Yarrowia lipolytica: one gene and its partners. The protein of the gene in region 1 interacts with the protein of each later gene in a pairwise test. Links are inferred from orthologs where the notes say so. Each region holds a gene or a part of one and is shown in the gene's direction. Other genes may lie near its edges.

The links.
Region 2: the proteins of YALI1_F39108g (region 1) and YALI1_F27132g interact in binary tests that used the Saccharomyces cerevisiae proteins (3 or more experiments, as listed by UniProt). The link is inferred for Yarrowia lipolytica from reciprocal best matches to the Saccharomyces cerevisiae genes UTP18 and UTP30.
Region 3: the proteins of YALI1_F39108g (region 1) and YALI1_F12080g interact in binary tests that used the Saccharomyces cerevisiae proteins (3 or more experiments, as listed by UniProt). The link is inferred for Yarrowia lipolytica from reciprocal best matches to the Saccharomyces cerevisiae genes UTP18 and UTP4.

The regions. Positions count from the first base shown.
Region 1 is NC_090775.1:3,909,252-3,913,228, forward strand, and holds YALI1_F39108g (uncharacterized protein), read left to right. Parts: upstream 1-1,548; coding exon 1,549-3,327; downstream 3,328-3,977. Other genes in the region: YALI1_F39106g (uncharacterized protein), read right to left, coding at 1-1,428; YALI1_F39128g (uncharacterized protein), read left to right, coding at 3,590-3,977. UniProt on the Saccharomyces cerevisiae protein: Involved in nucleolar processing of pre-18S ribosomal RNA and ribosome assembly.
Region 2 is NC_090775.1:2,711,830-2,714,955, reverse strand, and holds YALI1_F27132g (uncharacterized protein), read left to right. Parts: upstream 1-1,691; coding exon 1,692-2,525; downstream 2,526-3,126. Other genes in the region: YALI1_F27141g (uncharacterized protein), read right to left, coding at 1-813; YALI1_F27101g (uncharacterized protein), read right to left, coding at 2,756-3,126. UniProt on the Saccharomyces cerevisiae protein: Involved in rRNA-processing and ribosome biosynthesis.
Region 3 is NC_090775.1:1,205,344-1,209,720, reverse strand, and holds YALI1_F12080g (uncharacterized protein), read left to right. Parts: upstream 1-1,712; coding exon 1,713-3,776; downstream 3,777-4,377. Other genes in the region: YALI1_F12089g (uncharacterized protein), read right to left, coding at 1-755; YALI1_F12052g (uncharacterized protein), read left to right, coding at 3,826-3,965, 4,347-4,377. UniProt on the Saccharomyces cerevisiae protein: Involved in nucleolar processing of pre-18S ribosomal RNA. Required for optimal pre-ribosomal RNA transcription by RNA polymerase I together with a subset of U3 proteins required for transcription (t-UTPs).

The DNA.
Region 1 (3,977 bases):
AACAAGAGCATAAAGCTGGTTGTTTCTGACAGCAATATCTCCCTGCTCCTCCTTCACCTTCCCCGTCCAATGAGTCAGAACATCGTAGTACTGATCAGGGAACATTTTAGCAATGAGATCAGAAACATAGGGCAGGAAACCAGGGTCTCTCCACTTACTAGACTTGGCCATCTCATCCACCCAGATGATGATGAAGTCATACATGTTGCTGTTGAGCTGGTATCCCGTAGCCATACCTCGCATCACCGACTTCGTGTACTCGTTATCAGGACCATCAGAGATATCCTTGGCCAAAGACACCGAAGTAGCTGTAAGTGAAGGATCTTGTCGCACCAAAGCAGCAATCAGACGCCAATCTCGTTCATTGTTCACCTGCCAATCCAATGCAAAGGCCTCTCTCGTAGGCACAGCCTCGTTGAAAAGCCTCACCAAAATGCTCTTTTCCACCTTGTAGCCCATCTCTGTACACTGATCCAGCAGCTCCACAGTGTACTGCTTGGCATTCTGGATTAGACCACTGACCAGAGGCACAACCAGATCCTTCTCACCAGTGGTTCCAGGCATAGTAGCAGCCACCTTTTCTCCCAGTCTGATAATGTGGGCATAGCCTCGAACAGGAGCCTCAGTGGAGAAGCTCAACACCTCAAAAGTAGTGAAGGCATACAGACCAGTGATGGGGAAGTGTTCGGGATCAAACAGGAATTTGGTGACCAGATAATCGATGAAATGTGCCAGGTCCTTGTTTAGATCCTCCCCGTCCAATAGATAGAAAATGTAGGGAAGATACGATCCAACCTCTCGACACTTCTTCTGCATATCCTGACTTCCCTGAGAAGACCGCTCCAAAAAGTTGAGGATCATTTGAGTCCATGAAGACACTCCAGCAATGTGTCCCACAGGCAGCCCGGTCTTCTGAAAGTTTGTAAGGGTCTTGAGGTAGTCTCCTGCGATTTCGACAGCGGCACTCTCTGTAAACTGCACGGCTAACGACCGAGACACCTTGTTGACGGCTGTGGTGATCTCGTCCAGCAGCTGAACGGAGCAGCCCTCAATGTTTTCCTTGATGGCTAGACTGACGATCTCTGTGAACTTGCTGTTTCTGTAGATTCGTTCTCTTGGCATGGCCAGATCCTTGGCCATGTCTTCCCACACAGTGATGAATAGCGTCCAGAATGCCGGGTCTGCTCGAGCCTCCTTGGCAGAGTCGGTCTTCTCGCTTATTTTGTCCATCCACCATTGCAAAACTGCGCACAACCGATGGGGAAAGTAGACGTTGAGGTTTCCGGCTACAATTTCGTTTGCAAACGGCAGAATCTGCACCAGAGGCACGCCCTTGCGTCGCAGATGACGCGATATCGATGCTGTAGTCTGTGTTAGCGGTGGATCTCGAGTCAATTTAGCCGGTGTACTCACTTCCATATCAGCCATGTTGTTGTTATCTGGGTCTGGTGTTGGGTGCACGAAATTTCCTACTCTGCATACAGGAATTTATTAGGCTCTGGAGCTTAAATAAATATTTTCAGGGTGGGTGCATTAAGCAGATTGTAAATGGGACTTCAAAAAAATAATACCACTACACATATCGAAACTACACACAACAAAATGAAATCACTGGAAGAGCTAGAGGACGCCACCGAAGGAGTCATGGTGGACATTGACGAGCATATGGAGGACTCCATGGACGTGGACTCTTCTGATGACGAGGTGCCGGATAAGGACGAGGAGGAGCTGGAGCTGGAGAAGGCCGTCTTTGGAGATCTAGAGGGCTTTGAGATGGGTATCAAGAACATTGCGCTTGAAGAGGCAGAGGAGGAGGATTCCGACGATTCCCATGATTCGGATGACGAGAATGATTTTAACAAGATGGAGGACAACCAGTTGTTCTTTGTTGATGGAGGAGACGGGCAAAAGTACCACTCTGATGACGACTCTGACGACGATTCCGACTCGTCCATGGACTCAGATACCCTCGATGAGACTCTAGAAGAGCACGGAGGACGTGCCGCATGGGCCGACTCGGACGACGAGAACGTGCACATTTCGCTGGTGGGAGATCACGATGGTATGCTCAAGAAGCTGCGAAAGACGCAGACCCAGGACTACGTTAACGGCAAGGTGTTTTCGCGACGGCTGAGAGAACAGTATAGAAAGATCTACCGGGTCCCCGACTGGGCTGCTAATGCATTCAAGGCCAAGGCCAAGAAGGACTACGATGAGGACGACTCTGAGGGGTCCGATGAGGAGGAGCAGGACGTGCTTACAGGCACTTCTCTGAGCGAGGTGCTTCAGCGAGTCACCCAGTACTCCAACAAGGAGTCCAAACTGCTTCGACACGGCGAAATAGAGGTTGCTCGACTTCAGGACGTTAACTTTGCTGCTCCTTCTCGAGCTGCCGTGGAGGGTCTCGCTTTCCACCCCACACATTCTCTGCTTCTGACTGGAGGTTTCGACAAGACTCTGCGACTATACCAGGTGGATGGCAAGAACAACCCTGTTGTCACCACGCTCTTCATGAGACATACTCCCTTTGCTCACGTGGCCTTCCACCCCGACGGCCAGAGAGTGTATGCTGGTGGCCGAAAGCAGAAGCATCTGTACATCTGGAATGCTGAGAGTGGAAAGGTGGAGCGAATGGCACATCTGTACGGCCATGGTGACAAGGTGCGATGTTTTGCGCAGTTCAAGCTCTCACCAGACGGAAAGTACCTTTGTGTAGTTGGAGTGGACGGCTGGCTGGCCATTCTGTCGGCTACCTCTGGACAGTGGATCGACGGCTGTAAGATTGAGGGCGACGTTGCCGACTTTGTGTGGGACGGTGGCTCCATTATTGCTGTCAACACCGCTGGACAGGTGTGGGAATACAACGTGGAAAGCCGTTCTTTCACAGCTACTTGGACCGACGAGGGAGGAGTTGGCATCACGGTGCTGGCTATCGGCGGCAAGGCTAACCAGTGGCTGGCTATCGGCTCCGAGTCCGGCTACGTCAACGTCTACAACCGACCCAAACTTGCATTGGAGATTGCTAAGGGCCAAAGCCCCTTTGTGCCCCAGAAACCCACTGCGGTTCTCTCTAACCTAACCACCCCCGTTTCGTCGCTAGTCTTCTCTCCCGACGGACAGATGCTTGCCATGGCCTCCGACCAGAAGCGAGACTCTCTCAAGCTGGTCCATGTTCCTTCGTTCACCGTGTTCAAGAACTGGCCCACTCAACATACTTCTGTGGGAGTTGTCACCAGCGTGGCCTTCTCCCCCAGCTGCGAGTACCTGACTGTAGGTGCCACCAACGGCAGAGTCCGAATGTTCCAGCTCGCCCACTACAAGCTTTAATAGTATAGATGCATATTAGAAGATGTTTATAAGAGAATCTGAGTAGAAGGGTAAGTGTATATACTGGGTCTAGTTGGGGAGCGACTGAGTACTTTTTACCTACATTTCGAAGTAATTTAGTAAACATTAGTTGCACAGTCCGTTTAAAAACTCTATCTAACTTAAGCTCATCTATCGAAATATTTTTGCCCGACATGTACCTTAAAATTATTCTGCCAAAAAGTATACCTACGCATTTCATACTCATACACCACTTACAAAAATGACTACCCCCGACCTGGAGGATAAGTCCTTCGACTCGTTCGGCCTTGATGACAGACTGTTGTCCGGCCTGGCTGCCTGCGACATGAAGCAGCCCACTCTCATTCAGAACACAACCATTCCTCTGGCTCTGGACAAGGGCGTGGATATCACAGCCAAGGCCGTCACTGGTAGTGGCAAGACGGTGGCCTACTTGCTGCCCATCTTCGAGCTGATGCTGAGAGCTGAGAAAGAGAAACGGGATATCCAGACTGCTCTGATTGTGGTTCCCACGCGAGAGTTGTGTGAGCAGGTGTCCAAGGTGATCACCAAGCTGACCCAATTTTGCCCCCATCTCAAGTCTCTCAACGTGACTCAGCAGCTCGGAGACGACGTTATTTCTTCTCTGT
Region 2 (3,126 bases), about 1.2 Mb from region 1:
GGCTGCAACCTTGGGAGCGTTGCTGGTGTTTCGCATCGCGACCATAGACTCGGGAGGCATGATGTAGTCGCGTGACGTGACAGGGTGGTCGTGGGGGTGACCTGGAACTCCTGCTGTTCGTCGGAAATCGTCCATCAGGAGCAGATTGTCTCCTCCCTTGACGGCCTCTCCGAGTCCCTCGAGCACAGGATCCACGTTCAGGTCCTGTTTGGGGTTGAGCGACGTCTTTTGACGTTTTCGTTTCCGTCCGTGAGCCTGTGCGTCTGATTCTGTACCTGCGCCAGGCTGGGGAGCGCCTCCAGATCCAATCTCGACAGCGGCAGCAGCCACCATCTCGTTGAACTCGTCCTTGCTGAACTCCTTGTTGAACTCCTTGCTGAATTCCTTGTTGAATTTTTCCTGGAAGTCTCCCTCGCCGGCAGCAGTGGCAGCTGCGACGGCAAACTGCTCCGAAAACAGGTTCTGGTTCCATGGCGTGTCAGAATTGTCGTTGAGAAATTCCCCATAATGAGCAATGTCTTCGTACTGCTGCTGCTGCTGTTGCTGCTGCTGTTGTTGCTGGCCTGCAGGAGCTCCTCCGTTGTTACCGACACCAACACCGGGCTTCTCCTTTTCGCGTTTCTCCTCGTCCTGAGTGAATCGCACCAGATGCATCAGAGCGCCCTCGACGGTCTCCTCGCCCACGTCGTCCTTGGTATTGTTGCCATCGCTCGTCTTTTTGTCATCCTTGACATTGCGAGGATCCTTGCCTTCGTCTTGGAGATCCAGCAGCGCCTGTGCGCCTTCCTGCGCGGGCTTACCCTCCTTGGGCATCTTGTGTGTAGGTGGCTGTGTGGATGTGAGTGTCACGTTGTGGTCTGGCGGCGTCTGGCGTTGTATCACGTGGTGCTCGTCGCGTACACTGTTTTGCGTTTTCCTGTATCTGTCCAAAAACCGCGTTTCGCGAAACGAGACCGGGTAATATCGACCTTGGGCAGATGGGAAGGAGTGTTGTAGATGAAAACTTTTCCGGGTAACTCCCCTCAAAACCTTGTTGTTGGGAGTGTCTGGGGGTGCTCTTGTGTGTAGCCTCCGTTGGTCTATGCCTATACGCGATGTTGTATGGCTTTACGTGTACTGTATCTCTGTGTGCGGTGGGCTTGAAAAGCAGACAGTGGTATAGGAAGATGAGAGTGTCAGACACTATCCAGCTACCATTATATCTCCCGTGGCTCACGTGGACAGCAGGTTTGCTACATCTTGGCTGCTTCCATACTCTATTTTACCGTGATATGTTGTACGCCACAATCAAACAAAGTTGGAGGCGGTCGATGTCAGGACGAGGGAACTCATGACTGGTGGCGAAGATTGGTGTGTGTATAGTGCTCGCTGTGTCGCGTTGTTCGTGTGGTGCGTGTGCGAGTACTCGTAGTTGTAGTCGTATTTGCTCGGATAGGCCGTGATTCCATGAAACATTCTGTCTGTGGCAACGATTGCCGTGTCCTCCATCATCTGCTATATGACCTCAACTTGGCCATCATAACATGCCGAACCTTCCTACCATACCAATGTTGTCACAAGTAAAGCCAACTAAAGTTAGTTGACAGGAGCTCAACTAGTTTACCCCTAGCAACCCCTAACCCATACAGCTCACATGCAGGTCTCGAATATTTTCGAAAGATGACAAAAAAATCCAGACCACCAGCGACAAGATGAAACTCACGCAAAAGCCAGCCATTAAGGCACTGTTCAAGTCCGCCAAACAGGAGCTAACCGAGGACCCCAACCAGCGAATTCCCGTCCACCTCACCGTCACCACAACATCCAAAACCAATGTCAGAGTTCCCGGGCAGCGAGGTATGAACAACATTTCAGTCCCCTATGTCATTCCTCTGCACCACAAGATCCACAAGTCGATATCCCAGGCGAAAATACTGCTCATAGTGCCACACCCTACCGCCAAATATGCAGAGATCTTCCAGGCTGACGAAGCTAGCACCAAAGACACATTTGCTGATATCATTTCGGTCAAGAAGTTTCGACCTAAATTGCGAAAGGACCCCTTGTCTGTCGGAAAGGACTTCGATCTGATTGTCGCCGACTCCCGAATCCACGAGGAGGTCGTGGAGTGTTATGATAGACTGTCCAAGAAGATTTCTCTGAGACATCTGACTAAGCCGTTCCCCATCAGATTCATCCAACCTGGAAAAGAAGACGATGCAAGAGACGCAAACATGTTTGCCGATCCGGACTACGTCAAGGCACAGGTGCGAGGTTTGCTTCGATCCACGTCGGTGACTCTCCCCAGATCAATGGCATGCGAGCAGGGCGCTGTTAATCTGACTGCCCTCGTCGGATACCTGCCAGACAATACCGCCAAGGAGATCGAGGAGAACTCGCATCGAGTGGCAAACAACATCGTCGACAACCTCGTGGACGGGGGAGCTCGATCAACCAAAACTATTTACATCAAGAGCCCTAAGACAGTTGGTCTACCAATCTGGAGACTGGAAAAGGAGGGCCAGACACTGGAGGAGGAGGAATAAACAGCATATATCCAATAGCATTATATAATAAGAACACACCACTACAGTACAAACTGTACTTGCACCGTTAGTGGCTGTACCAATACACACTAAATACGATACTACTTGTGTCTACGGACTACAAGGACATGTTGCTCGTAGCTAACTACAGTAGTACCTACGCGAACCAATTTCTCCGGTCGTAGTCCTCTCTCATAACAATCATACCATACTCTAAATACCCTCTATATTTATCTGGAAAAGGCGATATCGTCAATTCTGAGCAGACCCTTGGCACACTCGGCGGCCAGAGTGATGGCCGAGGTGGTAACCAATGCGGGCTGAATGACATGCTCCTCCACCATAATGGACGTTCCTCGTCTCACCGAAATGCCGGCGTTGACCTCGCCCTTTTCGTGTCGAACTCGCAGCTCGGTCACAACGTTGACCGGGTTGAGACCGGCATTCTCGGCCAGGGTGGTGGGGATCACCAGCATGGCGTTAGAAAACTCTTCGTAGCAAATGGCAGAAGCACCGTCCATGGCTCGAGACTCCTTGCCAATAACCTGTGCAACCTGGACCTCACAGGCTCCTCCACCAGGAACAAGGGCAGGGACTCGGA
Region 3 (4,377 bases), about 2.7 Mb from region 1:
GAATTGGTATCACGTGCACGTTCAAGAAGATAGGGAAGGGTCTTCTTGGTCACCTTGAGGTTGAACAGGATAGCCCGGCGCACGTCGGCCGAGGGATCGTTCTGGATCAAGCTCAGTAGCAGCTCCTGTAGCTGTTTCTCCTCCGCGGACTCCTCCTCTCCTTCCTCAGCAGAAGATTGGATTCGGCACAGAGCCAACACGGCCTTTAGCCGTGTGCTGGCGTCCTTGTCGTACGACCGCGCAAACATGGAGTCTCGCAGGTCTTCAAAAAGGTCGTCGTCAATGTCACTAAGAGAGTTGATGACGGTAGACAGAATGTGGCAGCATCGGAACCGCACATGTCTATCTTTGGCCTGGGTTCCTCGGAGCACGTGACGAATGAGTGCCTCGCAGAAACGAGACGCCACTGTGCTCTCTTCCTCCTCATCATCTTCATCTTCATCCCGGTCTTCCTCTTCCTCCTGAAGACGTCCCACATACGAGCCGATGAACTCGACCACCTTGTCGGCCGACTTGTCGCCCTTCTTGCACGTGAGCATGCGGTTCACCAGCAGCAGAAACTTGCGCGTGAACTGCTCTTCCATGTTCCACTGAACTGCTCCCTCGTGTAGTTGTTGCATGGACACAATGATCTTTCTCTGCGCCACTAGCGACCGCTGCGCCTCCTGGAAATACTGCCCCAGTAGCGAGTACAGCTTGGCCTCGTTGCGGTTGTTGGCTTTGACCCCGACATGTGTTTTTTTGGCCGTCGTCATGCTGAGTGGTGGTTTGATGTAACTGGCAGGTGTATAGTGATGCGACAAAGGGATGTTTGAACGCGTCAACAAAGGCCGTTGCCACGGTAACCACCCGGGGGAAAACTTTGTATATTGTGCGGGGTTCGATTCCAGCTTGGGACATGTGATTCAGAGAGTGGAAAAGTGGAGGAAAAGAGGACATTTGGGGTTATCAAAGTGGTATAGATGTATTTGACGATTGGTTTTTTTTGGTTTTTTTTTTTTTTCACGTGATATTCGTCCGTTTGGGGGCATGGAACCCCCGTTTTCTTTTACTTGACTTGGTGTAATAGTTTGTTACATATTACTTGACTTGGTATAATAGTTTGTTACGTGTTACTTGGCTTAGTATAAATGTTTGTTGAGAATTACTTTAAGCAGAACAGAACACATCTACAAGACAGACTAGAGAATATATATAGACAAATCCAAGAGTGCAAGTTGTTGCAACGGTCAATTTACGATATTATTATAAAATCAAACTTATTACGCCCAGTATCAATCTCCATTCAAGTCATCTTCTGAACACCATTGACTCTACACTTAACATCGCCAGACCACACTTTGCTATACAAAATATGGTGTTGCTGGTTAGATAAAACAACTCTGAAAAATGCATCTTGTTGGTCTTTTTCCGCTCCATATCATGGTTCTTTCAGATTTCTATTACGTCCACTATTCGTCGAGATAATTCCAAAACACGTAAAACGTGGCCAAAACCAAAAATGAAACCACTGTCATAGCATTTCAGTCTTTAGCAATCTCTTCAAGCCCTCTTTCTTGTTATACAGGCTCTACATAGTCCGCTACTTGTAGGTGCTTCTATCACCCATTAGTCACATGACAAAGCCTAAATAAAAAAAAATCTGCATATGCATATAGGTAAGCCAAAAAATTGTGAGAGTGCAACATATCACAAAAACAGCACACAACACAATGGACGTTCATAGATGCCGTTTTGTGGACTACAATCCGGCCGGAATCACGGCGCTGGCGTTCAGCCGACGCTCCGAGCTGGACCAGAACGCCTCGCCGGACCTGAGACTGGCTGTGGGACGAGATAATGGAGATATCGAAATTTGGAACCCCCGATGGAACTGGCTCCATGAGACGACTTTGCGGGGAGGAAAGGGCCGGTCTGTCGAGGGGCTGGCGTGGTCTGACTCGGGCGACTCTTCTGGCAAGCCGCGGCTGTTTTCCATCGGAGGATCGACCGCTATCACCGAGTGGAACGTGTCCACGGGCCAGCCCAGAGTCAACTACGACTGCCACAGCGGTGTGATCTGGTGCATTGCCGTGAGCGACGACGGAACCAAGCTGGCTGCAGGCTGCGAAAACGGCTCCGTGGTGGTGGTGGATCTGTCTGGAGGCCCTGGTGTGATGGAGCATTCGCGAGTCCTTCAGAGACACACCTGTCGAGTGCTCAGTTTGGCATGGAGAGGCTCGCAGGTGGTGGGCGGCTGTTCGGACGCGCGGATCCGGGTCTGGGACGAAGACGGATCCACCATTGCCACCATGAAGGTCGACACTGCCAAGGGACCTGTGGCACAGGACGACGCTACTCTGGTGTGGACCGTGGCGGTTGTGAAGCGAGCCAAGGGCGATCTGATCGTTTCCGGCGACTCCACGGGCTCGGTCAAGTTCTGGGACTGCACGCACTTTGCTCTGAACCAGTCGTTCAAGACCCACGAAGCCGACATTCTCTGTCTGGCAGTCGATGCAGCCGGAGACGCTGTCTTTTCGGCGGGTGTCGACAAGACCATCGCCTGCTACGAGTCTGTGGGCAAGCGATGGAACCAGACCAACGTGCGGGGCTACAATGCCCACGACGTGCGAGCTCTGGCTACTTACGAGGCCAAAAACCTGTCTCTTCTTGCATCTGGAGGCGTGGAAAAGGTGCTTGTGGTTGCTTCCGTTAACGAGTTTGCTCAGGGCCCCTACCGAAAGTTCTCGGTGGCTCCCCCGCGAACCCAGACTCTCGTCTATGGCTCGATTGTGGCCATGTGGAACGGTCAGACTGTCAAGCTGTGGAGACGCCTTGAGGGCGGCCAGAGAAGACTGGTGTGCAAACTGACCATGTCTGCCGATGACAACATTTCTGACGTGGCCATGTTTGGTTCTCTTCTGGCGGTGTCTTCTCTTCAGGAGACCAAACTTTTCGAGCTCGAGGAGGTGCTTTCTTCCAAGGGCCATCCCGTTCTGAAACCCAACAAGTTGATGGATCTGGAGGGAGCCCACTTGACCGTCTTCTCGCCCGCTGGAGAGCTGCTGCTCATTTCCTCCGATTCCGTCATTCTCATTTCGCTTAACGAGGAGCTCGCACCTATCGAAGAGCTGCAGGTTCCCGAGGCGGTGCTCAAGGGCAACCTCATTGCCCACGGACACGAGACGGAAATCGTCGCTGCTGCCTTTTCAGATACACATCTGGCTCTGTCGCGGCGATCGGGTCACACGGAGATTTTTGTGCGGGGCGACCGAGGCTTCAAACACGCTCGAACACTCATGCGTCTGTCTGCTGCTCCCGCTACCGCGATGGCCTTCACGGGCGCCAAGACACTGGTGGTGGCCACGGCCGACAACAAGGTGGTGGAGTTCGATCTCGGCTCGGGTCTGCTGACCGAGTGGAGCCGATCCAACCCCGAGATTCCCGACCCCGTGGCTTCTTCGGTCGACCACTGCACAGGCATGTTCCTGGACCCCAGTTCCAAGCACTCCCAGCGAGTGTGGATGTGGGGAGCCACCTGGCTGGCGTTTGTTGACACCTCGACCAACATTCCGGTCGAGCGAGTCCCTAAGCGACGTCTGGATGGAGAGGAGACGGCCAAACCCGTCACTTCCGAAAACCAGACTACCACCGCCTTCTGGTCGACCAGCAAATACAGACCAATCATCGGCGCGGAGATTGTGGACGGCAACGAGCTCGTGGTGGTCGAGCGACCGGCGTTCGACATTCCTCTGCCCGCAGCCTTCTGGTCCAAGAAGAAGAAGCGGGTTGATTAGATGGACGAGACGAGCAGGAGACTTGGGTCACAGGTGTGTTGTATTTGGCATGAGAGGTCACGTGTTACGCCCGAGTGAGGTCACGTGTTTTAGCATGAGGTCACGTATCCGGTACATAGGGTACGAGACCTGTACAATCCAGTCTAGCGCGATACTTGGGTCCCCGAAGTGGATCGACTGGTTGGCATGGTGCATGGATTAAATAGATATTAATGAACTGTTAGATGGAACTGATGAGGTCGGAGGTCGGTGAGGGGGCAATTCGAGACCAGATCTGCCTTAAAGACCGACTTGTGGCACAGTATGTACTATTTACAAGAGACTAGGTACGTACTGTATGAGTAGGAGCCAGTTAGAGAGAATATCAGATCCTCGGAGTTCATTAGGGTGCTCGGATTACTGCTTGACACAGTAGTTGGGCGAGTGTTAGGTAAACATCTACTCGTTCTACAAGTACTTGTAGTGCTCAGCCCATACTCGCCATTGATGACATTTCGGTTCACCCACAAGTAGCTCTTTCCTTCTCTATGCAATTAGTATTTCTTTACATGGGTGAGTATTCTCATTCAGTCGCTTTGCTCAAAGTGAGTCTCTTCCTATC